4 linked regions of the Rhinolophus ferrumequinum genome follow. The protein of the gene in region 1 purifies or fractionates together with the protein of each later gene. This does not show direct contact. Links are inferred from orthologs where the notes say so. Each region holds a gene or a part of one and is shown on either strand. Other genes may lie near its edges.

What was found.
Region 2: the proteins of MAVS (region 1) and IFIH1 purify together in Homo sapiens (affinity purification with western blotting; 12 studies listed by BioGRID and IntAct, with this or other methods). This does not show direct contact. The link is inferred for Rhinolophus ferrumequinum from reciprocal best matches to the Homo sapiens genes MAVS and IFIH1.
Region 3: the proteins of MAVS (region 1) and EIF2AK2 purify together in Homo sapiens (affinity purification with western blotting; 3 studies listed by BioGRID and IntAct, with this or other methods). This does not show direct contact. The link is inferred for Rhinolophus ferrumequinum from reciprocal best matches to the Homo sapiens genes MAVS and EIF2AK2.
Region 4: the proteins of MAVS (region 1) and TRIM25 purify together in Homo sapiens (affinity purification with western blotting; 3 studies listed by BioGRID and IntAct, with this or other methods). This does not show direct contact. The link is inferred for Rhinolophus ferrumequinum from reciprocal best matches to the Homo sapiens genes MAVS and TRIM25.

Annotation. Positions count from the first base shown.
Region 1 is NC_046306.1:25,769,724-25,777,621, reverse strand, and holds the start of MAVS (mitochondrial antiviral-signaling protein), read right to left. Parts: upstream 3,005-7,898; 5' UTR 2,906-3,004; intron 878-2,905; exon of another isoform or gene 631-877; intron 1-630.
Region 2 is NC_046291.1:60,413,665-60,421,522, reverse strand, and holds the start of IFIH1 (interferon-induced helicase C domain-containing protein 1), read right to left. Parts: upstream 3,011-7,858; 5' UTR 2,716-3,010; coding exon 2,263-2,715; intron 1-2,262.
Region 3 is NC_046296.1:46,183,229-46,191,194, reverse strand, and holds the start of EIF2AK2 (interferon-induced, double-stranded RNA-activated protein kinase), read right to left. Parts: upstream 3,006-7,966; 5' UTR 2,750-3,005; intron 1-2,749.
Region 4 is NC_046304.1:28,458,928-28,466,792, forward strand, and holds the start of TRIM25 (E3 ubiquitin/ISG15 ligase TRIM25), read left to right. Parts: upstream 1-4,859; 5' UTR 4,860-4,949; coding exon 4,950-5,543; intron 5,544-7,865.

The sequences.
Region 1 (7,898 bases):
ACTCACAGCAAGAAGACTCCACTTAGAAGTGCTGCTTCTTTGAGGTACACTAGGAAAAAAAAGAAGCCCAACATAATAACAGGATCCATCCTACTTTAATGGTGAAGGAAATGAAGTATTAAGAAATAAAGGGGGCTTGCTTGTTAGTGCAAGAGCAAAGAACTGAGGTCTTCAGGATTCAGGATCAGATTCTTTCCAGAACACGACTGCAGGGCCACCATGAAAGCAGTTTGCTACATACACGTTCTTAGGGTAGGAGGCTGAGTTCCACTGTCCTGAACTCACTATTGACCTGGGGCAAGTTACCCGTCTTTTCCAGGCTTGTCCTCACCCCTACAATGGGTCAGGGAGCTTGTTTTGACAATACAGTAGTTCGGCCTGATGAGCTTGAAATTTATAAGCGCCTCAAATACAAGCAAGTACCGCCAGTTGCTTATGGAGCACTTACAATTTGCAAGTACATGCATTTGTTTGTGTGTTGTTTATTTGCCTCCCCTCTGGGGAGAGCTGCAGGGAATAAGAGAAATGAGATTTCTGCCATCATCCAGTTTATATTCTACTGGGGTGGGACAGATAACAAATCAGTAAACACATACATAAATAAGAATCCCAGAGAGTAATAAACATTACCAAGAAAACAAAGCGGGGTAACGAAACAGAAGCCCTGGAGAAGGGCGTGCTGCTTGCACTGGGATGGTCAGGGAAGACTTCCTGAATTGGCTGCATTTGAGTTGTGCCGTTCGTTCGGTGTTTCAGGCAGAGGCACTAGTGAGAAGTCCTAAAGTGGAAACCAGCTCAGCGTGTCTGAAGAATAGAAAGCAGGTCTCAGCGCGTCTGAAGAATAGAAAGCAGGTCGCTGTGGTCCAGGTTTAGAAAGCTAGGGGGAGGGGTGGAGATCAAGAAAGTTGGGAGGAGCTGTTACAAAGAGTGTTACAGGAAAGGGTGTTGGGTTTCATTTGGAGGGTTCTGAACAGGGAGGGGAGGGAGAGGATCTATGTTAAAGACCTCTCTGGTGATTGTGAGGACCTTGGACTATGGAGACGCCAGGATAGAAACAAGGAAACAAGTCAGGAGGCCACAGCAGGGCACAGACAAATGTACGGCTGGGGTGGTAACCAGTGGTGGAGAGAGAGAGGTGGTTGGATTCCTGGTGTTTTGTGGGTTTGGGAGGTGAGGAAAGGAGAAAAATCAAGGATGACTCTTTGGGCGCTGGGTGGATGGATGGTGCTATTTAGCCAGTCAGAGAATCCAGGGGAGGAGCAGAGGTGCACAGGGAACTCCAGAGCTCCATTTTGAATAAGTGAAGCTTGAAATGCTATTGAATGTCCAAGTGGGTTTTCAGGGAGGGAAGGGGGCACAGAGAGGGCCAGGCTAGAGTAGAAACGAGGGGTCAGGCTTGAGTGAGACCTCTAGGAGACAGCGCTGCAGAATGCCCAAAAGCTGCTGAGGCCGCCAGTCTCTTGCCAAATGGGAAACCGGGCAGCAGTCCTGTCTCCTGGCTTCACAGCTTCAAGTTGCATGACTTGCTTTGCCAACCACCAGATGCTACATTCCTACTGGGACAAGTGCTAATGATAGAGGTCAAGAGGATTAGGGAGGGAGGGCCGGGGTTCCTGGGAGATTTCAGGAGATGAGCAAAGAATAACTGTGGTAGCTAAAGACCCTTTTCTCCTTCCCTCCCATGGCATCCAGGGAGGCATCAGGAGAGAGTCAGGTGATAACATTTTTCTGCATCCCAGCCTCAGCCCTTAAGGCACAGAGTTTGGGGGGCAATGGGTTATGATATGATCCCACCAAAAAGAAAAGAAGCCCATAGTTGTTCACATTTATTGAGGATCCACTATAGGCAGAAACTTATTAAATAAGTTTCTCTCATTTAATCCTTGCCACAAATTCATGAGAGAAGTGATGCCAAGGTGCACAGCTGACCAGTGGCCCTGACAGGATTTGAACCCAGGACTTGATGTCTCACTGCAGCTCACCATACACTTTGCAGGTCATAGAAGCCCCTGCAGCAAGTGAAACTCAAACAACCCCTGCCTTCAAGTTCAGGAAAGGGCCAAGGTCACCATCTGAGTGAGGGGGGTCACTGGGTGAGGGTGCACCTGGGAGGATGCAACATTTAGTCCTGAACCGAACCGTGCCCTCCACAGCAGCGCGGTTCTCAGGTCGCTGACTCTCCTTCCAGATGTTTTTGAGGCTCCACAGCATCTATACGGGGAATGTCGTTTGGGATTTTGGGGTTTGTTGTTGTTTTTTTCAATGTTTTCCTGGCACCTCTTTCCGATCTCAGAGATGGGCAGCGAAGGTTCCGGATCCACTCGGCGAGGAGTTTCCGACCCGACTGTCCCAGGGGTCTGAGTGCTCTTGATGAATATCCACCCACGCGGGAAAGGCGAGGCCTCACAGCCCCATAGACCGAGGTCCACGGAGGACAGGGAGGCTGTTCTTCTGAGCAGGTGTCACCACCGAAAACTGTCAAAACCTAGGGGAGGGCGGTAACCTCCACCCCGAGGCACGGCCAAGGCCACAGGAGGTTGGCGCACTAGAGCTAGGCCTTGCCCGGGGGTCACCCTGGGCCTGAGCAGGGCAGCGGGAGGGCCTCAGCGGCCGGCGCCCGTTTCCTTCCTTTCCAACCTTCCCCCGCAGCCCAAGCAGACGCTCCTTGCCCCCCACTTCCCGACCCCCTGGGTGCCCTCGCTGTCCCAAACTCCAAGTGCCTTAGGACTCTCTCTTCCCGAGCCCCGCGCACCCTGTCCCCTCCCCGGCCTCCCGCGCGCCCCGGACCTCCTGAACTCTGGCGGATTCCAAGTCCCATTTGGCTCCTGACGCCGCGGGCCACCTCCCCGAAAGGCGTCTGTACGCCCTGAGCCCAGAGGACCAGGCGCGTGGGCTGCGATCTTACCTCGGGTAGCCACGACGCGGCGACCTGCGGACAGCCCCGACTGCCACCGGCCGCCAGAACCCTCCCCCGCCAGGGCGGGGCCATTGGTCGCACGGCGGGGGCCGGGCTTCGCGGTCCGCGCAGGCCGCTGGGAGACTGCGGGTGGCACTAGGCCTAGATTTAGAGGCCAGGACGCTCCGGGCGGACCTACGTTCCTGCAGGGGAGCAAAGGAGCAAATTATTGTCTTTCCCTGTTCGTCTCAGGCAGCTTTCAGGGGAAGTCCAGGGTCTAGTTAAAAACCAAGTGGGCTCCAGACCTCCGAGTCTGTGCCCTGTTGAGTTCCCAAACTTTCTACACAAAGCAATCCCTCCTCCTGCCCAGTGATTTTAGGGGGGAGAGGCTTTATGTGGTTTGCTCTTGGAAGCCCAGGGTCTAGCACACAGTACTCAACAAACGTGCCCAGCCAGGTGAGTGCCCAGCCAGATGAGTGCCCAGCCAGGCGACGCGCGTGCTGGGCCTGAGAAAGCAGGATCCGAGTGCAGGGCGTAGGTACCAAGGCTGCTTACCTGGCTCCCTCAGTGTGGGCCATGAGTGCTGTGTGAGAAAGGCCTCTCCACCCAAAGGTAAGGGGCGGGTGACTTCCCGCAGTGCTTGCCAGCCGCCTGTCCTTCCTCTGATGGGGCACAGGACACTCACAGGGGCAGAAGCTGGCAATTACTGAGGGCCCCCTGTGTTCCAGGTACAGGCTTCAAGTTCCTATCTTAGGGCTCTTTAAATGCTCTCATAATAATGAGATAGAAGTTTATTTTTTCTGTTTTAAAGAGAGACTTAAAGCTTTGGGGAAAGGTTTGGCTATTCTTACTAAAGTTTAAACATGCCAGCCGTCTCACTCAGCAACCACTCCTACCTATACATCCACCTAGAAACACTCACAATAGATAATGTTCATAGTAACTTTATTCACAATAGGCACACTCTGGAAACAACCCAAGGGTCCATCAGCAGGAGAATGGAGAGACAAACTCTGGTGTGCTCACACCATGGAATAATATACAACAGTAAAAAAGAATAAGCTATTGATACACACAACTTGCCTGAATCTCACCAGTATGAATGGGCACCATGGCTAACCAAGCCAAGCACAGAAAGTTCATGCTGTCTGTTCCAAGTCACAAGGTAAGGGTTGAAAACAGGCAAAACTCATCTACATAAATAGAAATCATTATCACTAGCTACCTCTAGGGATGTTGAGGGGTGGGGTACAAGGGAGCCTTCCGGTGGGATGGAAATATCCTGTGTCTTGATATGAGTGTTGGGTACATGGGCTTGTGCATACGTAAAAATGCATCAGCTGTACACTTAAGATTGTTACTGCAACTTTAAAAGGAAAGACATCTGAGAGGTTAAGAGGTTTGGCCTAGATCACATGCAAATGCCTGAATACATGCCTGTCTCCAAAGCCAGAGCTCCCAAACTGAATTGTAGGAGGGATGCTTTTTCAGATGATAATTGATTACTTGGAAACCTTGTGGATATTTCACAACATTCAGTATTTACAAAATGTTAATATTACACCTGAACTCAACTAACTGTAATAAAGCCACATCTGCCTTGTTTAGCCAAGACAGCGTTAACATTAATTGGTTCAAGAATTACTCCTGCCTGCTACCCACCCCAAATCCAGTGACCTCATATCTGATTCTTGCAGGAAGAGTGTTGGAAGTGCAGTGAATTGCTTCTAAATGTAGTTGCCACCCTGTTTTTGTTGGACTTCATAGGGCATTAAAAAAAAAAAATACAGCTTCCTCAAAAACACAATGAGATACTGTCTTAGTCCATTTGAGCTGCTATAACAAAAATCCATAGACTGGGTGGCTTAATCAACAAACATTTATTTCTGAGTTCTGGAAAGTTGGGAAGTCCAAGATCAAGATGCTGACGGATTTGGTGTCTGATAAGGGCCCACTTTCTGGTTCATAGACATAATCCTCACATGGCAGAAGAAGCAAGGTAGCTCTCTGGGGTCTTTAGAAGAGCACTAATTCCACTGATAAAGGCTTCACCCTTATGACCTAATCACCTCCCAAAGACCCCCACCTCTAAATACCACTACGTTGGGGATTAGGTTTCAATATATGAATTGTGGGGTTCGGGGGACAAAAACATTCAGTCTATAGGTATCAACCATTGGGGTGGCTATTATTAAAACAACCAGAAAATAACAAGTGTTTGGCAAGGATGTGGAGAAATTGGAACCCTTGTACATTGCTGGTGGGAATGCAAAATGGTGAGACTGCTGTGGAAAACAATATGGTGGTTCCTTAAAAAATTAGAACTAGAACTACATCCGATCCAGCAATTCCACTCCTGGATACATACCCAAAGAACTGAAAGCAGAGACTGGAACAGATATTTGTACATTCATGTGCATAGTAGCATATTCACAACAGTCAAAAGGTAGAAGCAACCCAAATGTCTATCAATGAATGAAAGGATAAACAAAATATGCTATATACATACAATGGAATATCATTCAGCCCTTAAAAGGGAAGGAAATTCAAACACATGCTATAACACGGATGAACTTTGAAGACATTATGCTAAGTGAAATAAGCCAGTCACAAAAGGAAAAATACTAAATGATTCTACTTACGAGTATATGAGGTACCTAGAGTAGTCAAATTCATAAAGATAGAAAGTAGAATGGTGGTTGCAATGGAGAATAGAGAATTGGTATCGAACGGGTAGAGTTTCAGTTGAGGACAATGAAAAAGTTCTGTGGATGGACGGTGGTAATGAATGCACAACAAATGTACTTAATGCCACAGAACTGTACACTTGAAATGGTTAAAATTGTAAATTTTATGTATATTTTGCCACAATAAAAATTCTGACCTACTTGGTTTCCTGTCACCTTTATCAGGAAACCAAAGGAGGGCACAACCTCACATCTATGGTATACCTGCTAAAACTCATAGTCAAGAGGAAACATCAAACAAACTCAAAATGAGGGGCATTCAACAGCTGTCCTGTCCAATGCAGCAGCCATCTACCACATGTGACTATTATTTTAATTAAGTAGAATATAAGATTCAGTTCTTCAACCCCACTAGCCACATTTTAAATGTCATTTTTCATGTAGCTACTGGCTATCATATTGGACAGCACAGATGCAGAGCATTTCTATCATGGCAGAAAGTTCTTTTGGAGAGCTTTTTTTTAAAAAAAAAAGTTGTATTGGCCTTTCAAGCTTGGCATTTGGGTGGTGGGTCCCCCTGGCATGTTCAACATGAGTATGGAGACATGTTATTTCTGGTAGGGACCCATATATCCCGGCCACTGCCTGATGTTTGTCCACAAGGATTGCAAGGTGTTCAGATTCTGTAAATCCAAGTGTCATAAAAACTTTAAAAAGAAGCACAATCTGGGCTGGCCCGGTGGCTCAGGCAGTTGGAGCTCCATGCGTCTAACTCTGAAGTCTGCCAGTTCAATTCCCACATGGGCCAGTGGGCTCTCAACCACAAGGTTGCCAGTTCAACTCCTGCAAGGGATAGTGGGCTGCGCCCCCTGCAACTAGCAACAGCAACTGGACCTGGAGCTGAGCTGCACCCTCCCCAACTAAGACTGAAAGGACAACAATTTGAAGCTGAACGACACCCTCCACAACTAAGATTGAAAGGACAATAACTTGACTTGGAAAAAAAGTCCTGGAAGTACACACTGTTCCCCAATAAAGTCCTGTTCCCCTTCCCCAATAAAATCTTTAAAAAAGAAGAAGAAGAAGAAGAAGCACAATCCTCACACGTTCAGGTGGACTAAAGCATTCTGTAAAGCAGAAATGAACCTGTCAAGTACCAGCGAAAGTTGTGGAATAAAACTATTGATACAATGAAGAGCGCAAACAGAAATGCCAAGTGAAATTTGTAATGAACAGGTTGAAGAAAAATAAAGAACTACAGAAAGTTCAGGACATTAAAGAAGTCAAGCAAAACATTCATCTCATTCGGCCCCTTTTGCATGCCAAGGAAAGCATCTGGAAAACAAAATGGTACAGAAATTACAACAGGATGTGACATGAAAGTTGTTTCTGAAAATCTTAACTGTCTGTAACCATTCCTATGAGTGCATTGGAAAACCTCCGTTAGAGACTTAGAACATCTAAATTAGTTTTTTTACATAAGGTGACTCAAATGAAAAAGTGATTAAAAATACATCTCTTCTACATTGCTATCTGAAAAACATCAGATATTATGGATGCTAGATTGCATCTCAATGTTAAATCTTCACTGATAGATGTGTACTTACATAAATCATGAAAATTTTGTGAACACAGAAGTGAATCGTGGACATAAAATGGTCATGCCACTTGGATAATGGCACATTTATGTAATAACTAATGACAAAAATTCATGACTAGTGATATATAAAATTTTCTTTGCAGTAAAATAAAAAAAGTTGTATTGGATAGCGCTGATCTATAATGTCAAGGCCATAAAAGACAAGGAAAGACTGAGGAGCTATCCTAGATTAAAGGAGAATAAAAAGGTATAACAATTGAAAGCAGTGTGGGATCCTGTGTTGGACTCTGAAACAGAAGAAGACATCAGTGGGACAAATGAGCCTTACTAAGGCTTTTGGATTAGTTAATAATATTCTATCAGTATTAATTTTCTGGGATTGCATCCCACCCTATTTCATGAGTAGAATTCACTGATCATTGTCCATTTATTAATGGAAGGGCGAGTCTGGAGAGCAATCTATATGCCAGGCCACCTGCACCCCCGGGTGAGGGCTTTGGAGACCGCCTCCCTGGTAAAGTTCATCCCCAGGTGGCCAGTGTCTCCAGGCCAGTGCTCAAAGAGGGCTGTGGCTCATGTGGTTCACATGTGATGACTCAGCAATCGCCAGCTCACATTTCCCTCCAGAGAGCAAAGTCAGACTCAAAGATAGTGCCTGAGGGCCCCACGAAGGGATATGTTCTCATATCTGACTCCCTTCAGACCTCTCCAAGCC
Region 2 (7,858 bases), on another chromosome or scaffold:
CACCAGTACTGCTCTAGGTACGAAAATCATTCCAGAATCTCACAGAGACACTATTCCTCTTTATAGAGTCTCAAACACATAGCTCTTCCATCTTTCAGAGCCTTCTTTGAAATATGAAGCTGGGGGATAGTTTGGATTGCATTGGCCTTAACTGCTACCAGTACACAAATGTCCCTTTACTCGAAATATTCTGTGTGTCAACTCCTTTGCATTACTGCTAGCTGCCTCCAAGCTTGCCAGAATCAAGAACTTGGATAAAATCTAGCTGGCGGAAATTCAATCCAGGCAAGACAAAAGTGATGCTGATAGGCAGAAGTATTTAGAGTAAATAAGGAGAAGTGCTGTTTTGCTGGCAATCGGGACAGCATACCCACCAAACATAAACAGCTTTGTGGTGTTACTGGACTCTGTTGCTTCTGGACTTCCTAACAGCTACTGTGGCTGGAAATGCCATCTTCCATCTCCAGCTGGCTTGAAGGCTGCATACTGTCTTCCAAATTAAGATTCTGCCACAGTGATGTACACATTTGTCATATCCAGCTGGACTACTATAATGCGTTCTAGCTGGTTCTCAATACACAAAACTACATAAACGCTACAGACAACAGTGTAAAGTAATCTACTTGTTGGGAAAACCAGCCATCAAAATTAGATGCATGCCCAGGTCTTTGGACAAGCCTACAGCTGTCAAATCTACAAAGGAGCATTAACTTTAGTCACTAAAGACTAAGTCACATCATAGGTTGATATGAGTCCAAGGCCCAAAACTTTGTAATTTAAACCCAATAATGAATAAACAAATAAATTAAATAGGTTTCTTTGGGTGATCACTGAACACAAAACTAAATCTAGAATCATTTGTAGTGAGGATACCAACAATTAGAAAGAAAGAAAATGTCAAAATCATTGCATGTTAGACAAAGCGTTTGACTTTTAGTCATGGGTTTGTTTGCCTACATGCCTTTCATGCTAAGATATTTGGCTTACAAACTGGAATAAGTCAGATTCAAATAAGTCACCATTTTTATACTTCACAGTATGTCCCCAATCATTGAAAAACAATAACAATAAAACATTACATTAAGTGCAAAGTTACCTGTAAAATTCACCCTGTCAAAATGCCACCTAAAAAATCCACTACTTGATCACTAATAAGAAAAACTGCAACTAGTAGACATACTTTTCAATGAATTATCTCCAACTTTTGATTTGCAGAGAATGTTGAAGAACTTGAGAGAAAATAACATGCTATATGTAATTTCCCTATTTAGACCAAGATTAAATGGCATAATGTATAATATAGCTTGGCGATTGGCAATTTTTTTTTCTCTAAAGGCCAGATAATAAATATTTTAGGTTTTGTGGGCAATATAGTATCTGTCCAACTACTCTTGAAGTACAAAAGCAGTCCTAATATGTAAATGAATGAGCATGGCTGTGTTCCAATAAAACTTTATGAACACTGAAACTTTTTTAATCTAAAAACTCTACTTAGCTTTTGAGCCTGCAATAACCAGCAGCAGGCTGGATTTAGTCCATGCGTCATGGTTTGCTGGTCCCTGTTCTGTGGAAGTGTATTAAATAAGACATAAAATTCCACACCATCAAGACCTAACCCCATATCTCTGCCACTGTCTTCCTAGGCGGCCCTGGGGAAGTTATTCAACCTGCCTCAGTTTTCTCATCTGTAAAATGGAGTTAATAACATTAACCACCTCAATGGAGTATTTCCAGCATGAACTGTTGATACATTTTGCAAATGATACTAAGTGCACATTGTGAGTGTTCAATAAATGTTATCTATCGGCATACATTTATTATTCTTGAATTAACTCCTCTTTAGCTTATTTCAGTTTGCCACTCCTCTTTTGCCACACGATGGTCGGATATATCCAAATGAATATACCTGAAATTTTTATACATAAAAATAATGTTATTTATATACAAAGCAGCTCAAATTGTTATTATTAAATGCATAAAATAGTAAAAATATCAACTTTTTTTTTTGTGGATTTCTGACACATTTTGAAAAAAACACGAAATCAATTAACGCAGTGAAAGGATTAGAAAAACAGATATTTTGTGTTTAAATTTTCAAACTTATGTTTTAGATGACTAGATATTATATTCTCCTCTCAAAGAAGGAGGGAACCAGATTTACTCAAAGACATCAAAGAACGTTTGGAATGAGGCAAATGAGCGACCAGGACCTAGTTGCAAAAGTCTAACTAAAAGCCAAGTTCCATCTGAACTGACACTTACCCGATTTCTGTCTTCAACTGTCAACAGGTCCACCGCCACACATTTATCCAAGACATCTCTAACTAGAAGCTTGTCCACCAGGGTGGGCTGTAAAAGGTTCAGCAGTTGGAGACACTCATCGTGAGTGTTCTCATAGGATGGAGAGGGCAAGTCTGTGAGCTCAGGATTCATGTAGCGGGCGGCTAAAGGGCTTCCTGTTCGCTGGAGGGCTTCCACAAATACCCTAGTCCAGCCCAGGGGCCAGACCCCCTTCTCCAAAGTGCTGAGGAGCAAGTCAGCTCCGTGAATTTCCCCGTGGGTGAAGGCCGTCCTCTCAATCTTCTCCTTCTCCTCTGCAGACAGAAAGTCCAGGTAGTCCAGCACAGGCCCCACCTGGATATACATTTTCACTCTGGCCCGGAAGCATGAGATGAGATATCGGAAACTCTTGTCTGAGGAATACCCCTTCGACATCTTTCCTTCTCAGAAAAGGGAGAGGTTCTCCCAAGTAGATGGTCAGGTTGCTGTTCTCTGCTGACCAGGTACGATGTGTATAACCCTGTCTGCTGCCTTGGGTAGCAGGGTCTTCGGGGATGTACCTGACAGCAACGGGGTTGCCTTCAGGACCCCCAGACCGGCTCACTCAGCCGTGCGATCGCCCCTGGCAGGTGGGCAGGTGGGCAGGGCGCGCCGGACAAGGGACTCCGAGGCAGGCAGTCGCCGGCGGCCGGCGCGGCCCGGCGCCTCTCTGCAGTGCTCTCCGGCGCTGCGCACTCCGGTGGGAACTTTGAGTCCAGTTTCCCCCCAGTCAGTTCTTATAGTTTTCCTGACTGTTTTCTGTTTCGATTCTCCTCTTCAGGACTTTCCAAATGTAAGCCGCCGGGCGGGGGCGTTGCTCTTTCCGCGAGGAGGAGCCGCCCCGTGATCGGTGCTGGCAAGTGCGAAATAGAAAAGGAAAGTGAAATCTCTCCCCCACCAAGTAAGACACCGATGCTCCAGCAATGCACCTCCTGCGGGCATGTTGTCCTCCTTGCAGAGTTCTGCCTCAAAAATCAGACTTCCTTTCCACAGCTGTTTTGCATCAACCCTTGTCAGCTAAAATGGGGAGAGCTTGAAAGAACGTAATTCAGAAATTCCCCGCAGGGAGGTGAAGAGAAACAGATGCCACCGCCAGGGTGTAAGATTGCAAGGGACAGGTGTAGAGAAGCTAAAGAGACATTTCCAGAGAGGTGTAACTGCAGAACCCCAGGATGAAGTGACCTCTTGTGGGGACAGAGTCCCAGAATGCACTTTCCAGGCTCTCGGCCTCACGCGGAAAGGCGCTGGCTTGGGTAGTAGGTGGCCATCAGCTGTGGATGGTTGGTCATCAGCTGTAACCAGTTAGCCATTGGCCACTGATATAACCGCCATGGCTGAGCTACCAAGCGCAGATTGCAGTTAGCAAGGGGTTGGTTGGTTGTCAGAGAAGCGGATGGCAGATCACGGCTCTTGCTTCCAGTTTCCAACCCAGCCTCCAGCAAGAATATGGTGGTATGACTCTCCTATCTGTGGCTCCATTGGTGTTCCTTTTTGGCCTCACCATATCCTGCGTTCTTAGGCAGGGAGCAGGACCAGAGATGCCGCATGACACCTCTGCACCCTTTCTAGGTGCAAACCTGACCTCCTGTGGGTCCCCAAGAAATAAAACTTTCCTTGGGGAATATCTGGGTGGTTATGAAAAAGAGTCATGATAAACAGTGAACTTTTATGCCTCCTCTGTAGATTGTAGTATTGATTTGGCTTTGACCAGAGCCTGGTGACAGACGCAGAGGGACTTGAACCACCAACTCGATTTAGGAGGAAGCCAACATGGAAGGTTTCCTATCTCCCAGCATGTCAATTTCCCATATTCTTTAATATACAACTTTTCTTTAATAAAACAAAACAAAATCCCCAACAACTTATTTTTGACATAGCTGCCATTCTTTTCTTGGATTCAATACAGCGAGTTTTGGCTGAAGCAGCTAGGAACTTAATTAGCAACTAATGTACCAACTTGTAGTAAACATCAACATTTGTCTATGTCATGAAGGAAAAAAAGACACCCACACTGCAAAATGGCAGCTTCATTTTAGTACAGAAGCCACATAAACATGAGTCCTTCATGTTGCTGTTCAGGCATTCTGCAGCCCTGGGTGACTACGCGTGGTAGTATATATGCTTCATAAGGAGAACCTCATGGTCCAGAATTATGCTGAGGATGGAGGGGTCATTTAGGCTATCAAAAAGATATGTTTAAGAAAAGTAATTTGTTAGCAACACACATGCAATGATTTTTGGAGAGGCCAGGAAACCTGCCCATGCTTTGGATGGTATAAAAGAAGTACAGTCTTTGTGTTTACCAGAAGTATACAGAATATCCAAGTGAGCACTTTATAGCAAGTTTATTCTCGATATGATATAGCTAAGCCTTTTTCTTCCTTAAAGGACTGTAAATTTCTTGAAGGAAGAAAATATTTACACAGTAACCACTACAGTACAAACAGTAGACTCTTGATGATTTCCCACCTGAATGGCATTTTTAGTTGCCTTGCGTCTAGCTGCTGGCTTAACCTAAAATGCAAAGTAAAATCTGCTGAAGTGAGATAAAACCTTGGCCTTACAGGTGGGCCTGATTTATAATGTTCTTTTCTGTTTCTTCATAAAGCATTACTGTATCTTTACTTAATTTTGGGATTTGACCTTGTACCTAGGTAGAAGATAATCACATTAGATGTTTCTACAGAAGTAGTAAAATTATTGATTTTAGTTATTGATTCTACAAAAATATGTTTTGGGCCTATTACAAGAAAGTCCCCTTCCTTCCCCATGTGCCAGCAGGTATCATTCAGTATGTTAAACCAAAGACTAACTAACAAACAAAAGACGTTCTGTACCCATCTTTTTGTCCTTCACTTTCAAACACTGGGGGATAAGAAGGGATTGCTGATTAAATATGGGAAAGTAATGTCATCTTCTTAACACCATGAAATTGCTGCCCTGATGAGAGGATCAAAAGTAGAAGATTACATATTTGTATTCAGATCATTTATTTATTCAGTCATTTAAAAAATATTTATTAAGTAGACTGTGTAGATGCCTGACCAATATGCTATACATCTGAAGCTGAAGTAGAATACGTAATATTGACTGTAAACTATAATTAAATATATATATATATAGCCAAAAAAAGTATACACCATTTAGAAAAGGAAAAAAAAACTGTACTAAAATTGTAATATTCAACATATACCGATAACCAAAGATGGATACAAGTCATGTGTATACACTTTTTTATACCTTTTTTTTTGGCACCACTGGTATATGTATATATAGCCACTGGATGTGGAGTACAGCATAGGGAAGATAGTCAATGGTACTGTAACAGCTATATAGGATGTCAGAGGGGTAGTAGATGGGGGTGGTGGTTATCACTTTATGAGGGATGTAAATGTCTAACTGTTACATTGCTTGGTACACCTGAAACTAATAAAAATATTTACTAAATAACTACTATGTCACCAGCACTGCTCTAGGTACAGTTAGTAAACTAGAACAAAGTTTCTACTTTTATGCAGCTCACATTCTAATGTGAGTGGGGAGACAGATAATAAATAATAATTAGAAAAATACAGTTGCCAGGTGAAGATAAATACTATGAGAATAATGGTAAGATCTATTCCTAAGTATTTTATTATTTTTGATGCTATTGTAAAAGGGATCATTTTCCTTTTACTTTTTTTTTATTTTACTTTCAGGTAATTGGCTGTTAGTGTATAGAAACACTACTGATTTTTGTATGTTGATTTTGTATCCTGAAACTTTGTTGTTGATTAGATCTAACATTTGTGTGTGTGTGTGTGTGTGTGTGTGTGTGTAGTCTTTATGATTTTCTACATATAAAATCATGTCATCTGCAAATAGAGACAGCTTTACTTCTCCCTTACTAATGCTGATTCCTTCCTTTCTCTCTCTCTCTCTGTCTCTCTCTCTCTCTCTCTCTCTCTCTCTCTCTTCTCTCTCACCTCTATCCTTTCTCTTGCCTCATTGCTCTGGCTAGGAGTTTAGAACTATGTTAAATAGGAATTGTGAGATCCAGATAATAATGCACATTATAGTTTTACTGGTTGACTTTCCAAATAGATGCCCTTCCCCAACCCTCACCATTACCATCAATCACAATTCATGTTTACTCTCATGTGGGAATCACGACTGGATGAGGTTCAGTGATGAGGACTAAGCATAGGTGGGAATAAATGAGGGAAAACAGAAACAAACCTCTTCTTAGGAATCTGCCATAATCTTGATATGACCCCTTCTGGAGAAAGGAGGTTGAGGAAACAAAAGCCAAGCCACCATCTCTCAAAATGTATTTTTTTTTTCTTTACCTATATTTTTCCATTGTAATTTAGTTTATTTTCTTCTTTTTGTTTGAATAGACATTTTCCTCTGTTAAGTTTCCCCTAATAGCTTTCATTTTCATCCTTCTCATTGTTTTCTAAACATAGCTTTCTGTTTCCTTTCTCCTTTGAGGTAGGAAATCTTGCTGCTCTTTGTCTTCTTTCTAGACCTGCCTAGTCTTTTTAAACCAAAAGAAACATTTCAGTCTCTATCAGTTTCAAAAGCCACCTTTTAGCATTTTCTTCTTTAACTATTAAGTCAGGGATATATTAGATAACAGATTCCCACTGTTATCCAACTTTTCATCTGAGTTTTCTACAATTAAGAAGTAGTGATAATCATAGCTGCCACTGCTTTGATAAACCAGAACTACAATTTAATGGCCACACATAGCAGTAATGCCTTTTCCAAAGAAAATGACAATAAACTTAGTTTAGTGAGGAAATCATTCTAGAATTATTGTTGTTTCTTCATTTCTTTTCTAATTGTGTCAATAAAGAGCCTACTCTGTGTAATTGAAAGTTAGATGCCCCTAACCTAGCAGTACAGAGCTGTGGTTAAGCACAGAGACTCTGAGCTCAGGATGGCGGGTTCACATGTCAGCACTACCTATCAATTCTGTGTGATCTTAGGGAAACCACGCCAGATTTCTCAGGTGTAAAATGAAAATGATAGCAGTACCATGTCATAAGGTTGTTCGAAGGATGGACAGTAAAACCCTTAGCACCAGGCCTGGCGTATTATATTTGCCCTATAAGTATCTACAAGCATTCTTAGCAAACAATGAATAAGAGATGGTGCTAGCTCTCAAAGAATGCACATTTTAGAGAGGAAATAAATTAGTTGTATACTTAAACACTATATAGTAACCAGCCATGTAACTGAGGTTTTACACAGGATCTCCTTTTGCAAGAAACAGACGTCAATATGCTGATTTAGCAGAAAAGTTTATTAAAAGGATACTGTTATAGGTTTATATCTCAAAAACATAAGTAGGTACAAAATAGAAAAGGAAATTCTGGCTAAGTTTACTAGATCATGATACTCATTTCTTAATTACTTCCACCAATTCAGTTATAAAGTTCTGATTTTACATATGAACATTGAAAAGCTTTTTCTACATAAACAATTTTGGCAAAAAGAAAATAAAAAAATCTGGTATCAGTGGAAAATTTCCAAATATCCATTTTTCAAAATG
Region 3 (7,966 bases), on another chromosome or scaffold:
GATTAATTAAAATTAAGTACTCCCCTTTAAACCTTCTCATCTTCTCCCTTTTCTTCGCCTGTTGTTTTCTGTGCATCTTTTCTTCATTCATTCAGTAAGTGCTTATCAAATGTCAGGGACTGTTCTGATACTGAGTATACAGATATAAACAAGACAGAACATGTGCAGAAATAAATAACAGGAGTGGGTATTATGATGGCCAGATGACCGAGAAGTGCTATGATGAAATTAAACAGAGATATGGAATCTTAGAGAGTGAGTTGGCAGGTGGGGGCAGAAATATGATGGAGGTGGTTTTAGATACAGTGGTGAGGGAATAGCCTCCTTAGGAGGGAATATTTAAATCAAGCCTGAATGATGAGAAAGCCCATCATACCAATATATGGGGGAGGAGTAGCTCAGGCAGAGGAAACCCTGGAGCAGGAGCCAGTGCAGACTTTGGAGGGATAACAATAAGGCCAAGGGGACTGCTGCACCGTGAATGAGGGGTTAAGGGTAGGAAATGAGTCAGAGAGGTGGGCAGGTGCCACAGCACACAGCCCTTATAGGGTATGGATGTTACTCCACTAGGAAGCTATTGGAGGATTTTAAGAAGAGGGGTGATGTGACTGGATTGATGTTTCAAATGACCCCTCCGATGCTACGGAGAGTACGGAGAATGCTGGGTATGGAAAGGGGAAGCAGAGCATGAGTAGAAGTTGGGAGACCAAGCAGAGGCTGTGGCAGTGGCTTGGGTGAACAACGGTGGTGAGCAATGGTGGTGGCTGGAAGCGAGGTGCTAGAAGTGCCCTGATCTGAGCAAAGGCAATACCTTCTCGTCAGTGCTGAGGGCGGTGAAGAGAGTTAGGCGTTAGAGCCACAGAGATCTGGGCTAGACATCTCTCTGAGTCTTTGATTCATGACCTAAAAAACACCTGATTCACAGGTTGTTGTGAGGAATAAATCAGACGAAAAGCATCTGGCACACTGGTGGGCCCCACTAAATGGTGCTCCTGGTCTGCAATTCCAAAATCCAAAAAGCACTGAAAAACTAAGGTTTTCTTTGTTTTCATTTGTTTTGTTTTTGGTAGATTTGTAGCCCCTTATCTAAACCTAAACTGGCATGATCAATTGAGTGTCTGTATCATACTTTGGTGCCTATTTATACATTTCACTGCAGAAATATGTTTCATTATACCTAGAGTGTCACCCCCAAATCCTGCTGAGAGCATTACGTAATAGACAGGGTGTATGCTGTATTGCCTTTCTAAAATCCAAAATCTCTGAAGACCAGAACACACCTGGCCCAAGGGTTTCAGATAAGGGTCTGTAGATGTACCATTATTTTCAGAAACCAAAGTCTCATTTAGTTTAGTCACAACCATGAGACCATACATCAAATTGGAGGGGGGGTCACAGATCTCAGAACAGCAGTTATGGAAGAGTCCTTAGCAATTACTTAACCAGAAGTCCTATCAAATGCTTTTACATTCTCAGCACTGTTACCTCTTAACTGCTGATCAGCAGAATGACAAGCCAGTTTGACTTTAAGTGAAATATACGTGTAAACTAATAAGGTACTGAACTGGCATGTTTGAAAAGTACTTACAAGTTTTGGGGAAAAAGAAATAGGTTTCTTTTTAACTACTTTTAATACATAGTTGTCTTAATACTAAGTTACCATTTCCCTAAAAGAAATCACCACAATAATCTCTAACAAACGGTTATGTGTCCATTTTACTCTTGCCCAGAAGATACTTTGGCATTCCCCTTAGGGCAGACGTGAGCGTCTGCCGGCCTAGCCCCCTCCAGGGCCTGCACAATGGTTGGCATGCAACATGCATTCAAGCAGTATCTGATGAATTAAACGAATAAACCAGAGATCACGTGTTGTGGATCTTCAGGTTCAAATAAGCAAACTGAAGAAAAAGAGCACAGTCTGCCCAAGATTCTAAGTTCCTAAATGACAGCAGAGAGTGTATATTTTAGCTTCTAACTGGCAAGGCATTTTTAGTACTAAAGAAATCACAGGTATTAGGAAGTCTCATTATTCTGGAATTCAAAAGAGAATTTATGAATTACCATTCATTAAACAACTATTTAATGAGTGCTGGGGTTATACCAGTGAACAAAACCCTGCTCCGGTGAACTTACCAGTGGAGGAACACGGACAAAGCCATAAAAAAAAATCAGAGCGATATATTGAAAACTGAAGTAAAATAAGGGTGACAGGGAGGGGCGGGTGGGGTTTCTCTTATAAGCAGGTTGTTCAGGGAAAGCTGCTTTGACAGAGTGACACTGAAGAAATGCAGGGGACACTGAGGGATGGGCCTATGCAGGTATCTGAGGGAAGAAAGAGCTTTCCAGGAAGAAGAAACTGGCAGTGCAAAGACCCAGAGGCAGGGGTGTATGCTTGGCTGCGTGTCAAGAACAGCAGTGCGGTCCGAATGGAGGGAATAAGGGGACTTGCCTGTGAGCCCAGAGACGGTGTTGAGAAGTATGGGGGGGGGGGCGGGGAGGGGGAAGAGGGTGTAAGGGGTCGAAATGGGAAGGGAGGGGGGCAGGAAAGGGGTTGGGGAGGGGGAAGCCAGGCAATTAGGAAACAAGTGTAACTGTCTAGGCAAGAGATTTCGGGCCAGGGATTACAGAGCCAATCTATAGGTAATTCAGGGCTGCATATTTCCCATCTCTCTGTCAAGTCATAGGGTCGATCTATTTTCCACTCGATTCCCTCGCCCCCCAACGCCGTCCTGGGCTATTCGTTACTTACTGTGATAAAAACTGTTCACCGGAAGAAAATGGATTTCAGTTCCCAGCACGCTGCCCGGGTCCGAAAAGGTTCCCGCACCTCGCCAGGGGGCCTGAGCCAGGAGTCAGGGGCCTCGCAGCCGACGGAGGACGCGGGCTGCGCGCGCGCCTCTGCACCCCTGTGCTCTCCGCCCCTCGCCGCCTCCCGCGCTGCCCGGCGCCCCGCCGCCCAGTTTACTTCGCGCCGTCACTGTCTCCCGAGGCACTGTCCGATCTGGACACCTCGGTCTCAGTTTCGTTTTCTCTGCGGACTCCGCCTTCCGCTGCGGCCGCCCGGCCCCCTCCCGTTTTAGTCCTTACTGGATCCGGGATCTGGAGACTGACGTTTCCATTGGGAGTCCGCGCGGCAGGCACGCACGTGCCGCTCCTGCTCCTGGGCGCGCGTCCAGACCCTTGTATCCCCACCCGGGCTTCTGGGGCTGTCAGGACCGGGTACAGGTAAGGATCCGTAGGAGGTGGGGAGGACACCGAAGTCTCCGAGCGCCCGTGGCGCGCCAGGCACTCGCTGAACTAGGCTCCAGGATCAAACATCCCATTTCCTCTAACACGCAAACATTTGGGGGTGGGGGTCAGGGTGGATAGTATCAGCCTTATCTTACAATAGAAGAAACTGAGTAAATTAACTCGCCCAGGGTCTTGCCGCTGGAAAGTGGCAAAGCTAGCATTCAGTTCAAGGTCAGGCCCCTAAACACCAAAGCACTCGGTCTCCTTTCCACACTGCTGCCAGGTCACATACAAGGCTGGGGATGAATTGGCCAGGGGAATAATCTTCCTTCTGTCTGTTTGCACCCATCCAACCGCTCATTCAACAGATACTTGCCAGCCGCTGTACCTACCAAGCACCGGCCCAGCAGTTAGGTGAGCCACCTGCTGCTCCTTAAGGGACCTCATGGAGTTTACTACCAAAGCCCTCATCAATAGTCCTCGATTTATAAGAAATCCTACTCACCTAATGGACTATGACACACTCCCAGAGTAATACTGATTCATTGACACGGTGACTAAAGAGTGCTGAGGACTTACTTTACAACAACACTGCAAGGTAGGTGCCATTGCTGTGCCCATTTCACAGATGATGAAACTTAGGTCTGAGGCACAGAGAAGTTAAATAACACAGCTAGTAAGCAGAGGGAGCTAAAATTAGAAGCAGGAGTCTGTACCCTTAACACCTTAGCTAGAGTAAAAGAGAGAGGTGGTCCTAAGTTGGACCTCAAGTATACATTAAATACTGCGCATTGGCTCCAGGAGTCCTTTTCCACTTCTCTTCTACATCCCCTCATTTTGCAGGGTATCAATGGCTAAAAACTACGTTTTCCTTGTAGCTTAGGTCTTGGACATGATTTAAGTCTCCCAAATGTGAAGCACTTGTGGGGTGTTTGGAATATACGAGTAGATGGGAGGCAGAGCCATCTTTCTGTGGCATTTCCAGGCAGCAAAAAGCTCCAGCAGTGGTGGGTGTTTGCAGGAATCCATTTGCCAGCCTCAGGCAGTGGGGTGGCTGTGGCAGAAGCAATGGCAATAGCAATGACACGTTTCCTGACATTTTGAAGCCCGGGAACTGCCCAAGAGAGCCTAGAAAAGAAAATGATAAGCTCAAGTACCGTCAGAGGACACAAACTTTTATGATTGCCCCAGAAGAACCTCTTACATGGAGCTTCAGGGCAGATGTTGTAAAGATCAGGTGCAGAGCCTGATGCCGCAGGTAGCAGAATTTTAAAATATAAGTTTAAGATGTAGCCTCACCAAGTCTTTTATGTGAACATTAAGGGCATTGATTGGGAAAGAATGAGGCCCTGGGAACTTGGATGGATTTGAATGAGTCCAAGTACCACTGCCCTCCCAAATTCTGTTGAGTGTCCACAGTCCTTCCACCTTTGTTTGCTAAGGATGGTACAGCCTACGTAGCTTGAAGATCCTGAAGTAGTCACCTCCAAATGTCCCATCCTACCTCATTCCTTCACTCCTAGAACTAGAATCAGATGCTAGGATGCCACCAATGGATACCGACAAGATCTGATCCAGAGGAGGTAGTTTACACAATAAAAGAGTTGCAAGATTTTACTAATTTTTTCCCCAGCAGAAACCCAGGAAATATGCATGGAAATGGTTCTAAAGGTAACAAGGCAAAATAAATATAATTTAGATTATGCACTCAATGTGCTGGCTCCAGCAGCGGGGAATGGCTCTAATGGTTTGTTCAGTTGGTTTATTACAATCTGGCCTCAGGGTTGGCACACATTAAGTAAAACTGTGATGTCAAGTAATACAGAGGAAGAAATCAAAAGGAGGGGGGTTATCACTTTGTGAGGGATATAAATGTCTAAGTATTATATTGTTTTGTACACCTGAAATGAATAAAAAAAAAGTATGTAGGGAATGAGGAACATTGGAATAGATTAATCATATGCAACCTATTCATTCACTCCCTAAACATGGTCCCCAAGAAAATCCAAAGGATCCTCTTTCACCAGGCATTGAGAAATATATTGGAGAGGGGGAGCATCAGCATCCTTGAAAATTCTGTAATGAATGGTGACCACTGCTGGTGGGGAATGTTGATGGGAGATGCTCCCTGATTTCAATGTGTACTATGGCTCCCAGAGTAGCAAAGGCCATGTGGCAACACTTAAACCCCAAAGAAAGGGCATCAGGGTCAGAGCAGTAATCAGAAAGTTTCAATAACCAAAGATCTTCAGTGGTGATAAACTGGTCCCGACATTCTTAGGACTCAAAAAAGATGCTAGTCCACAGGCATGTTACACGAGCAGCTATCTAAGGCTCTATCACTCCTGCTCTATCAACCCAATCTCTGAACTCATGGGGAGTTTCCTGTGGCCAGATGATTGAGAAAGAAATATTCGAATGAAGCACAACACACTGCCATTAATCAGAAGTGGATTGAGGTATTACAATAGCCCCGCTGGGAGGTGGTCCTAAAGGATAGTGGGAGAAAGGAAATCTTCCCAGTGGGCAGAATTTTGAGCAGTACCTTTAGTTGTCACTTGGAAAAAGAGAAAGCCAGTGGCTTGGACAGAACCAATGGCTAACCATTTAGCTGGATATTCAGACATTTGGAAGGAACAAGATCAGAGGGTCGATGATAAGGAGGTCTGGGGGAAATGATGTGGGTGAACCACTTAGAACAGACACAGAGTTAGGAGCATATTGGGTTCTCTTGTGAATGTTCACCTCCACAGGCACGCACTTCTGAGGAGGCTATTGAGAAGCAAGTGGGCAAGACGACTTCTATGGATGTCAGCTTTCCCAGCTACCCCAGTGTTTTTTCAAAATGAATGAAGAGGCAATGGCAGCAGGAATTGGATGATACATGTGAGTTCATCAACAGGGAATTCCCATCCAGGCTGCTGAGTACCTAGCGTGTCAACAACACAGACCAACCCTGAGCCCCCAGTGTGGATTCTCATACTCCAAGGAAGACCAGCCAGTCACTTTGTGGCAGACTGGTTACGTGGCGACCTTTCCATCATGGAGTGGGCAGGGATTTGCCCTCTGTGGAGTAAACATGTATTCCAGCTATGGATTTGCTTTTCCTTCCTTGCAGTGCTTCTGCCAACACCATCATTGTTGGACATCCTGAATATCTTGTTCACCATCATGTTATACCTCACTAAGGAACCCATTTTGCAGAAAAAGAAGGCAGACACTGACTACCATGGGATCAATGGTTTTATTATGATCATCACCACCAAAAAGCAGCTGGCCTTAGAAGACTGTGGGATGGAGTACTGAAGACTCAGTTACAGCCCCAGGTAGGTGACAACACAGCAAGCTGAGTGTACAGTCCTTCAAGTACAATATATGCTCTAAACCAAGTTGCTGTTTCTTTCACGGCCAGAATACAGGAGACCAGGAAACGGTAGAAGTGAAAAGCTTGTCTCCCACAATTAAACCTAATCACACACTTGCAAAGTAAGTGCTTTCTTGCTCCTATGACATTGGGCTGTTCTCCACTAGGAGACACATAGTTCCTTGCGCAGGAACTTGAGAGTGCATCTGGATTTTACAGGTTCATCATGCCATCAAGTCATCACAAAAATAAGGAAGTTAGCAACTGGGCTGATTGATGTGAATTACGCCGGGCAAATAGTGATACAGCCACGCAGTGGAGTCAAGGATGAGTATGTCTTCAACCCAGAGGTTTCTTTGAGGTTCTTTCTGGTAATTACATGTTCAATGATAAATGTTGATGGAAGTCTAAAGCTGTCCAACACAGGCAGGACTGTTAAGGTCTCAGCTCTTTCAGGATTGTTGATTTATATCGCCCTACTATGTAGTTGGGGAGACTTCTAAGGGCAAAGGGAACCAATGAAGAGGAAATTATAAACACCAATGATGGTCTCATGACCAGTTTCAGAATGAAGCACCATAGAAGCGGTGCATGTTTTTTTCCTTGTTTTGTTTTTGTATGTATTCATGAACTTCTTTTAATGGCTTTCCTCTTTCCTTTTATATGAGGTTTGCTGGTGGTGGTTAATTTTATAACTTAGTCTTTACATTAGAGTATCTTAAGGTGGGATCGTGACTAAAACAGAAGAGGAAAGAACATCGCATAGCAATGGGTATAAAGATTTAAGGGATAGGGTATGCATGCTTTCATTTGAATAAGGGAATGACTGTATTAGGTGGGAATGTAGTTTTGTTTGCTTGAAAGATTATTGGTAGAAGGAGTGGACTGTACTAGATATTAATTTTTATTTAGTTTCCATTCTTATTCTCTTCTATGTCTCCTCATATCCTGGATTATAACATATAGAGGGTAAAAACTACATTTTCCAGATTTCTATGGAGTTAAAGTTCTGGATATAATTTGAGTTCTGCCACTGACTGATGAGCAGTGGGTGCAAGATTTGGAAGATGGAAACGAGGATAAGGCCATCCTTCTGTGGTAGGACAAGCTGACAAGCAAGAGCCCCTGCTCAGGAGTGTAGAGGAAGCATCCTTGTCTTTTTCCTAATGTTAGAGGAAAAGCTTTTTTAACTCAACATACTACTGGAAGTCCTAGCCAGAGCATATTTTCTAAATTAAAATGATAAGCGTACGTCACAATTATCACTGTTGTTTGTCCAATATTAATTCTTCCAATCCATGAACGTGAAACATCTTCCATCTATTTGAGTCTTGCTTTAGTTTTTTTCATCAGTGTCTTATAGTTTCCAGT
Region 4 (7,865 bases), on another chromosome or scaffold:
TAACAAAGTACCACAAACCGGGTGACATAAAACAAGTACAATTTATTCTCTCGGAGTTCCAGAGGGTAGAAGTCTGAAGTCAAGTGTCAGTAGTACCCTGCTCCCTCTGGAACCCGTAGGAGGGACTCCTTTCTTGCCTCCTAGCTTATGATGCTTTCCCAGCCACCTTTGGTGCTGGCTTACAGCGCCAGCACTTCAATCTCTGCCTCCATCATCCCATGGTGTTATCACCTCATGTGTGTTTGTCTTCACATGGTATTTTCCTAATTCATAGTGAATTAGGTACCACCTTAATGAGCCCATCTTAATTGATTACATCTGCAAAGGCTCTATTTCCAAGTAAGATCACATTCACAGATACCAGGGGTTAGGACATCAACATATATTTTGGGGGGGAATACAATTCAACCCATATACTAACTAAGAACAAAGCTTCACAATACATGAAGAAAAGAACGGACAAATACAAAGTGAGAAATAGACAATTAGTATATTGAAGTTATTAACAGCTTCCGGCAAAAATTGGTAGAACAACTAGACAAAACAATTGGGAGGGATACAGAAGTTCTGAACCTTGATATAATTGACATTTATACATTCAACAATTTAACACACACTTTTTTTTTCAAGTATACTTGGAATGCTCTCTAAGATGGACCAAATGTCCATCATAAAACAAGTCATAAAATAAGTCTCAACATATTTCAAAAGAGAAACAGCTTACGTAATAGTGCTGACTAAAATGGAGTTGAATTAGAAATCAATAACAATAAGATACCCAGGAAAGCTCCAGATATTTGGAAATGAAGCCATATCCTTACAAGTAGCTAATGTATCAAAGAAGAAATTAGAAAATATTTTGAATGAAATGGTAATGAAAACACACAAATTAAAACTTGTAGAATATAACTAAAGCAGTGTTTAAAAGGAAATTTATAGTTTTAAGCCCCTATATTAGAAAAGGAGGAAGTTTAACAATAATGATCTAATAATCCAACTTAATAATCTTGAAAACGTGAGCAAATTAAACCAAAAGTAAATGGAAGGAAATAATAGTTAAGAGAAGAAATTAATGAAGAAAAAGAGCAGACAAATGACAGAAAATTAAAGCCAAAAGTTGGTTCTTTGAAAAAAATTAATAAAATTAATAATCTATTAGATGGATTAATCAAGAAAAAAAGAAAGAAAACACGTTACTTACATCAGGAATGAAAAAGGCGTTACTATAGATTCTACTAACATTAAAAGAACAACATGGTATATGATTTCACGTACATGTGGAATCTAAAAAACAATAAAATGAGCTAACAAAACAAAACAGAAACAGACTCATAGATAGAGCAAACAAACTTATGGTTGCCAGATGGGAGGGGTATGGGAGATACGTGAAAAAGACAGAGGTTAAGAAGTACAAGCTGCCAGTTATAAAACTAGTCACAGGGATGTAATAACGTACAGAAGGGACTATAGTTAACAATATTGTAATAAATATGTATGGTGACAGATGGTTACTAGAGTTATCGTGGTTATCACTCCGTAAGGTATATAAATATCTAATCACTATGTTGTACACCTGAAACTAATATAATTTTGTATGTAAATTGTAATTAAAAATTATTCAAAAATGATTACAGGAAGAAAAAAAAGACCTCTCATGTTGATGAATTTTCAATTTTCACCAGGAAATTTATTGATAATGTCTTTTTTAGTTGTTATTTTTACAGATATAATAATATGATATGATAAAAGGCTATCCTGGGGGGAGCAGGGGAAAGAGTAATATTATGGTAGAGTAAGGACCTCTGAAAATTTTGCCTCCGTAAAAGAAAACTAACAAAAATTGTCAGGATCAACTTTTTCAGACCTGTGGGAATTAGCGAAGACCTTACAACAATTCAGGGAATGCTTATTCAAGAAAAGTGGCTGTGTGCTCGCTTCCGCAGTACAGATACTAAAATTGGAATGATACAGAGAAGATTAGCATGGCCCCTGTGCAAGGATGACACACAAATTCGTGAAGCATTCCATATTTTTCTGACCCCTCCCCGCCAAACCAATAAAGCATAAAGCATAAAAAAGAAAGGAAGAAAAGAAGGAAGGAAGCAAGAGAGTGAGGGAGGGAGGGAGGGAGGGAAAGAGGAAAGAAGGAAGGAAGGAAAAAAGGAAGGAAGGAAGGAAGGAAGAAAGAAAGAGTGGCTGAATCTTGGTAGGAACAGCAAACTGTGGTGTTTTAACTTGTCCCATTCCCATTACTCCACTTCCAGCTCCCGGTAGTCTTGAAAACCAATAGTCTGCAAACAACTCTGAGACCTTAGAAAATACCGGGAAACTTATTGGTTCTATGCATTCAAGGAAATCTCTATTCAGTTGTTAGCTGATCGCTAGGCTAATGGAGCAGAGACTTTAGTAGCAACATATGACAATAAACACAGACTTCAGGGAATTAAGTCAGAAAAGTCACTAAACAAATAACAACAATGAACAGCCCAACAACAAACAGTGGGGAGGGGGGAATCTGGTATCCACAGTGCCACATTGTATAATTTTAAATATCCAGTTTTGAACAAAAAAAATATGAAATATACAAAGAAAGAAGAAAGAATGGCCCATATGAGAAAAAAAAAACACAGAATTTATCCTTGAGGAAGTACAGATGTTGGACTTACAGACAAAAACTTTAAATCAGCTATTTAAATATGTTCAAAGAACCTTAGGAAACCATGTCTGAAGAAATAAAGGTGAGTATGAGAATGATGTCTCTCTAAATAGAGAATATCAGTAAGGAGGTAATGTAGTATTATTTTTAAAAAGAACCAAATGAAAATTCTGGAGTTGAAATGTATAATGACTAAAATAAAAAGTTCACTGGAGGGGCTCAGCAGCAGATTTGAGCAGTGCGAAGAAAGAACTGGTGGACCTGCTTATGATCTACTGAGATGATGTAGCCTATAAAACAGAAAGGGAAAAGAAGAAAGAAAGGGAAGAAAGAAAAATGAACAGAGCCTCAGAGACCTGTGGGACACCAACAAGCATACCAATAATGGGAGTTCCTAAAGAAGAGGAGAGAGAGGGAAGGCAGAAAGAATATTTGAAGAAAGAACAAAGGAATACAAAAGTAAGAAGGCAGGAACGGAGAGATAGAAGAACAGAAAAGATGTAAGACATAAAAATATAAGGAAATGGCAGATGTAAGTCCTACCTTATTGGTAATGTAATGTAAATGGCTTAAATGTTCCAATTAAAAGGCAGAGATTGGTAGAATGCATAGAAAACATGATCCAACTATATCCTCTCTGTAAGAGCCACACTTTAGATTCAAAGACACAAAAAGGTTGAAAGTAAAAGGATGGAAAAAAGAGATGCCAGGCAAATAGTAACCAATAACAAGATAGACCATATTCAGGTAATAAAAAAAGTTTCCATAAATTTTAAAAGATTTAAATAACACAAAGTATATGCTTTAATCATAATGGAATGAATTTAGCATAGTATGTCTTACGACATATCTACTGCATAGAATTTGAAAAACATAAAGTATGCCCCTCCTGGTCATTTTTTCTAAACTTCTCCTCCAGGAAAGAGAATTCCACAAACATTCTGGCATGAGTCACCAGGCCACCTCACCCACAAGAGGTAGGTCATAGGGGATTTTACGGTATTTATTTACTGAAAGCTGCTCTATGGCTCCTCTTGAGAGGCAGCATTTTATAGTAGAAAATGTTTGCCTTCTGGAATCAGATAGCCTGGATGCCAATATCCATTGTATTAGGCAAGTTATTTAGTTTCTCTAAGCTTCAGTTTTCTCATCTGTGACATGAGGTAATTATACCTACCTTAAAGATTTGTGAGAATTAAATGAGATACTATACCTAAATCTTAATTTCCTACCCACCTCATCTTCTGTCTTCCTCCTCATGCAAACAACAATGCAATATGAAAGAGAACAAATGGGGTCAAGGGGCCTGGAGGAATAGAAATAGGGGAACCAGGAATTGTAATCCCAGTCCTAAATTGTGTAAAATACATGACCCTCATCTATAAAATGGGTATGATTTCTGTCTTGTGGGAGTTATAAGGACTAGAAGCGATTATAAAGATTATAAGAGGGAACATATCTGACTTGTCTAGCACACAGTAGGTGTCCCATAAGTGGTAGTTATTACTTTTAGCAGTAGTCTAAGTCATTTATTTACCTTTTTCTCATTTTTGCGGCTCATCCTCTCCCCAGTGCAAACTCCAGCTAACTCCTCCGCAAACGCAATCTTTCTCTTTGCCCCCCACCACGTCTCTTGAACACTTCTCACCTCCTGTACACTGACTTTTCCTGCACTCTGACCAGAGCGGGAGAAACAGAGGTAAAAGAATGGAAGGAAATAAATCTAAATAAACAATTTTGAGAAAAATGTTTAGGTTCCAACATTACTTTTTTGGCTGCGTACGTGTGTGAGAGAAAAACCTTTGTGAAACTGGGATGTCTCCAAATCCTACTAGTAAAGTCCTGATAAGACAGTCTTGCCGCCGGGGCGGAGGGGACTCCTCGGGTCTGGATGAGTTCTCCTAAGGAAGGAATGCGGGGCAGGCGCGTTTGTGCAGAAGCCGGACTGCATTTCGGCTCTGACTCCCCGGATCTGGGGTTCTCCACCCGACACGTCGGTTTTCTCCTCCGCAGGTGGCCCTAAGAACCCCGCGGTGGCTGTGAGAATAACTTGAACCTCCGAAGACTGCTAGTCCGAGACTTGGGACTACAGCCACCACCCGGTCGCCAGAGAAGGAACCCCGCGCGCCGGCTCCGCCCCCTGCCCGTCTCCCCGGGCCCCCACGTGATTTCCTGAAAGGCCGAGAGACCGCCCTCCCGCCGCTCAGTTTCGTTTTCTTGGTGGCTTTGGGCTCTTGTGCTACAGTCGCGGCCGTCGTTTCCGCGCGTCCCGTCCGGTCCTCCAAGGAGCGCTATGGCGGAGCTGTCCCTGGCCGACGAGCTGACGTGCTCCATCTGCTTGGAGCCCTTCAGGGAGCCGGTCACCACTCCTTGCGGCCACAACTTCTGCGGGTCGTGCCTGGACCAGACGTGGGCCGACCATGGCGCGCCGTATAGGTGTCCTCAGTGCCGTGCCGCGTACCAGGTGCGGCCGCAGCTCCGCAAGAACACTGTGCTGTGCACCGTGGTGGATCAGTTCCTGCAGGCCGAACTGGCCCGCGAAGCGATCGCCGACGGCTGGACGCCACCCGCTCGCGCCACCGCCCCCAGCCCCACCGACCAGGTGGCCTGTGACCACTGCCTGAAGGAGGCCGCGGTCAAGACATGCCTTGTGTGCATGGCCTCTTTCTGCCAGGAGCACCTGCGGCCACACCTCGACAGCCCGGCCTTCCGGGACCACCTGCTGCAGCCGCCGGTTCACGACCTGTTACACCGCAAGTGCCCTCAGCACAACCGGCTCCGGGAATTCTTCTGCCCTGAGCACAGCGAGTGCATTTGCCATATCTGCCTGGTGGAGCACAAGACCTGCTCGCCTGTACCCCTGAGTCAGGCCAGCGCTGACCTGGAGGTAGGGGGTGGCGGCGGAGGGCGCAGAGGGGCAGCTTGGGCCTGCTGGGTTGTGCAGAGGACGCCGCCGTGCGCATCTCTGTCTCCCCTGGATCACTTGGATGGGGGTGGGGATGGGGCTGGGCCTTGCTGGGCCTGAGATCCGGGACAGAAGACACAGGTGATGGTGCTTACTTTAAGTCTAGGGCTTGGCCTGATGGTGTTAATAAAGGGTTTAGAATGCCAAATATGAGCCCTGGAGGTTACCTCTGTTCCCTCATTAAATCCTGGCAGCACCAGGAGGTGGGTGTCATTAGTTCCATTTTTCAGTTAGGGAAAGCAGTTCGGGAGAGGTTACTTAGCCTGAGGAACCCAGTAGATGGCCAAGTAGGCATTGGGACCCAGCTGGTTTGACTACACAGTTTGCCGTTTCTCCCCAGGAACCAGCTTCATACCCAAGTCTACAGAGTCCAGAGCATAAGACATTCCTGGAGGATTGAGGTCATGTGAGCAAGAGCAGTTGGTGAGCCAGAGAGTTCTAGTGAGTAGGGAGGATCCCTACGGGTGGGTTGTGTCTCAGGAATTCTTGGATATGACCCACAGGAAGAGCCAGTGCTCTTGCACCATAGTGCCCTCCATCCTGGCTGTGTGACTTTGAGCACAGGATTTGGCCCCTGGGCCTGAGTCCTTGTCAGTAATGTGAGGAGGTGGGACCTGGTGGATTCCTAAAGGGCCTTACAGGTCTGTGGTCATTTTGGAGAATCATAACTTCTCCCGGTGGAGTTAAGGCAGAGGCTTGAAAAGGTATCACCTTTTGTTTTATCAGTCTAAGCTCCAAAGCGCGCCCCGATTTCTTTTGATTCTCACAGCACTGTCAGCTGTCCTCATATTGTCAAAGCAGACCTGAGACCTGGGGGAAGTTTGCCGTGGCATCCAGGACTGGGGTGCAGGCCTTGCTTCCATCCTGCCACAGCCCCTCTCTGGCTGGGCCTGCTTCTCCCAGTCTGAGCTGGGATCCTCTGGACTTCTTCCCTGAGTCTCAGAAGCCCGACCTCCAGGCACTGCCTGAGAATTGCCCATCTGAGGCCCGGCCATCTGGGTCTCCGACTGTCATAGGAAAGAACCTGCCTAGCCTTTGGAGCCAGGAGGCCTTCTTGGCCCCATACCAGCTGTGGTTTAGGGTCAGTCACTGCAGTTCTGAGCCTCAGCTTCCTCATCTGTAAAATGGGATTAGTACAGCTCCCATTTTAGGGACGCTCCGGAGAGAGGAGCTATGTGGGACGTGCTTTGTAGGCTGGCCCCAGTGTCAGGCAGAGTGGCTGGCTGACACAGGCTCCAGGCAGAGCTGGATGTTGAGACCTGGGTTTGAATTCTGGCTCTGCTTCCTAGCTGGGAAATCCAGAAAAGGGGGACAATAATAGTACCTATCTCCGAAGGTGATTGGGAGGATTAAATGAGCAACCTATAAACTGCGTTTTATGGTGAAGGCTCATTGCTGTTACTCCTCCCAGGGGAGAGGGAGACCTTAACTCGCTGGGCAGTGTCAGGCTGCCCAGATCTTTTTTGCCTCAGGGTGCCTGGGCCTGCCCATGAAGACTAGGGCAGCCTGGCTCCTGCTGAAAGGCCTTTCTAAGAAGTTCTTACCGGTGGAGGCAGAAGGCAAGTAGAGGCAGGAGGCCCCTTGTCAGCCTGTCTCAGAGCCACAGTTCTCTCAGCCTCCAGGGCCTGGAGCTGGATTCTACGCCCAGATTGTGTGCTGAACACACTTGGCTTTTTAATCCTTGTAACAGGCCTTTCCCCTCCACCTCCCCTCTTTCGCCATTGTCCTGGCTGCGTCCTTTCACCATGTTCCTTTTCCAGCCCTGCTGCTGCTTACTCCTGGTGGCAGAGCCAGCCCCAGCTGGGCATTGCCCCAGCCTTGGGTGGCTGGCTGGTCTCCATCAATAGTGCCTCCCGTGTGGAGGACCCAAGTCCCCAGTCTGTGAAGGGATCCTCAGAACTTCAAAAAGGTCTCTAACCTTGATTAGGGGATTGTTGTGGCTATCGAAGTCCTTGGGCCACTTTCCTTTTGTCTGGAGTTGCGTGGACCCCCTTCTTCCATCAGGGGACTGTCATACATGTTTGATTAATGGTAAATAAAATCTTTTAAAATACAGAATTTAGGAGTTCACGGTTAAGAGTGGCTCTCGGAGGTGAAACATTTGGCAGCCCCCTGGTGTTCTGAGGTTTCTTCCAGCTCTTGAGATCTGCGAGGCCAGACCTGCCTGGGTCTGGCCTTCAGCCTTTGGTCCAGTTTATATTGGCCTCTATTAGAGGCCACGTCAAAGGGCATTGTCACAGAGGT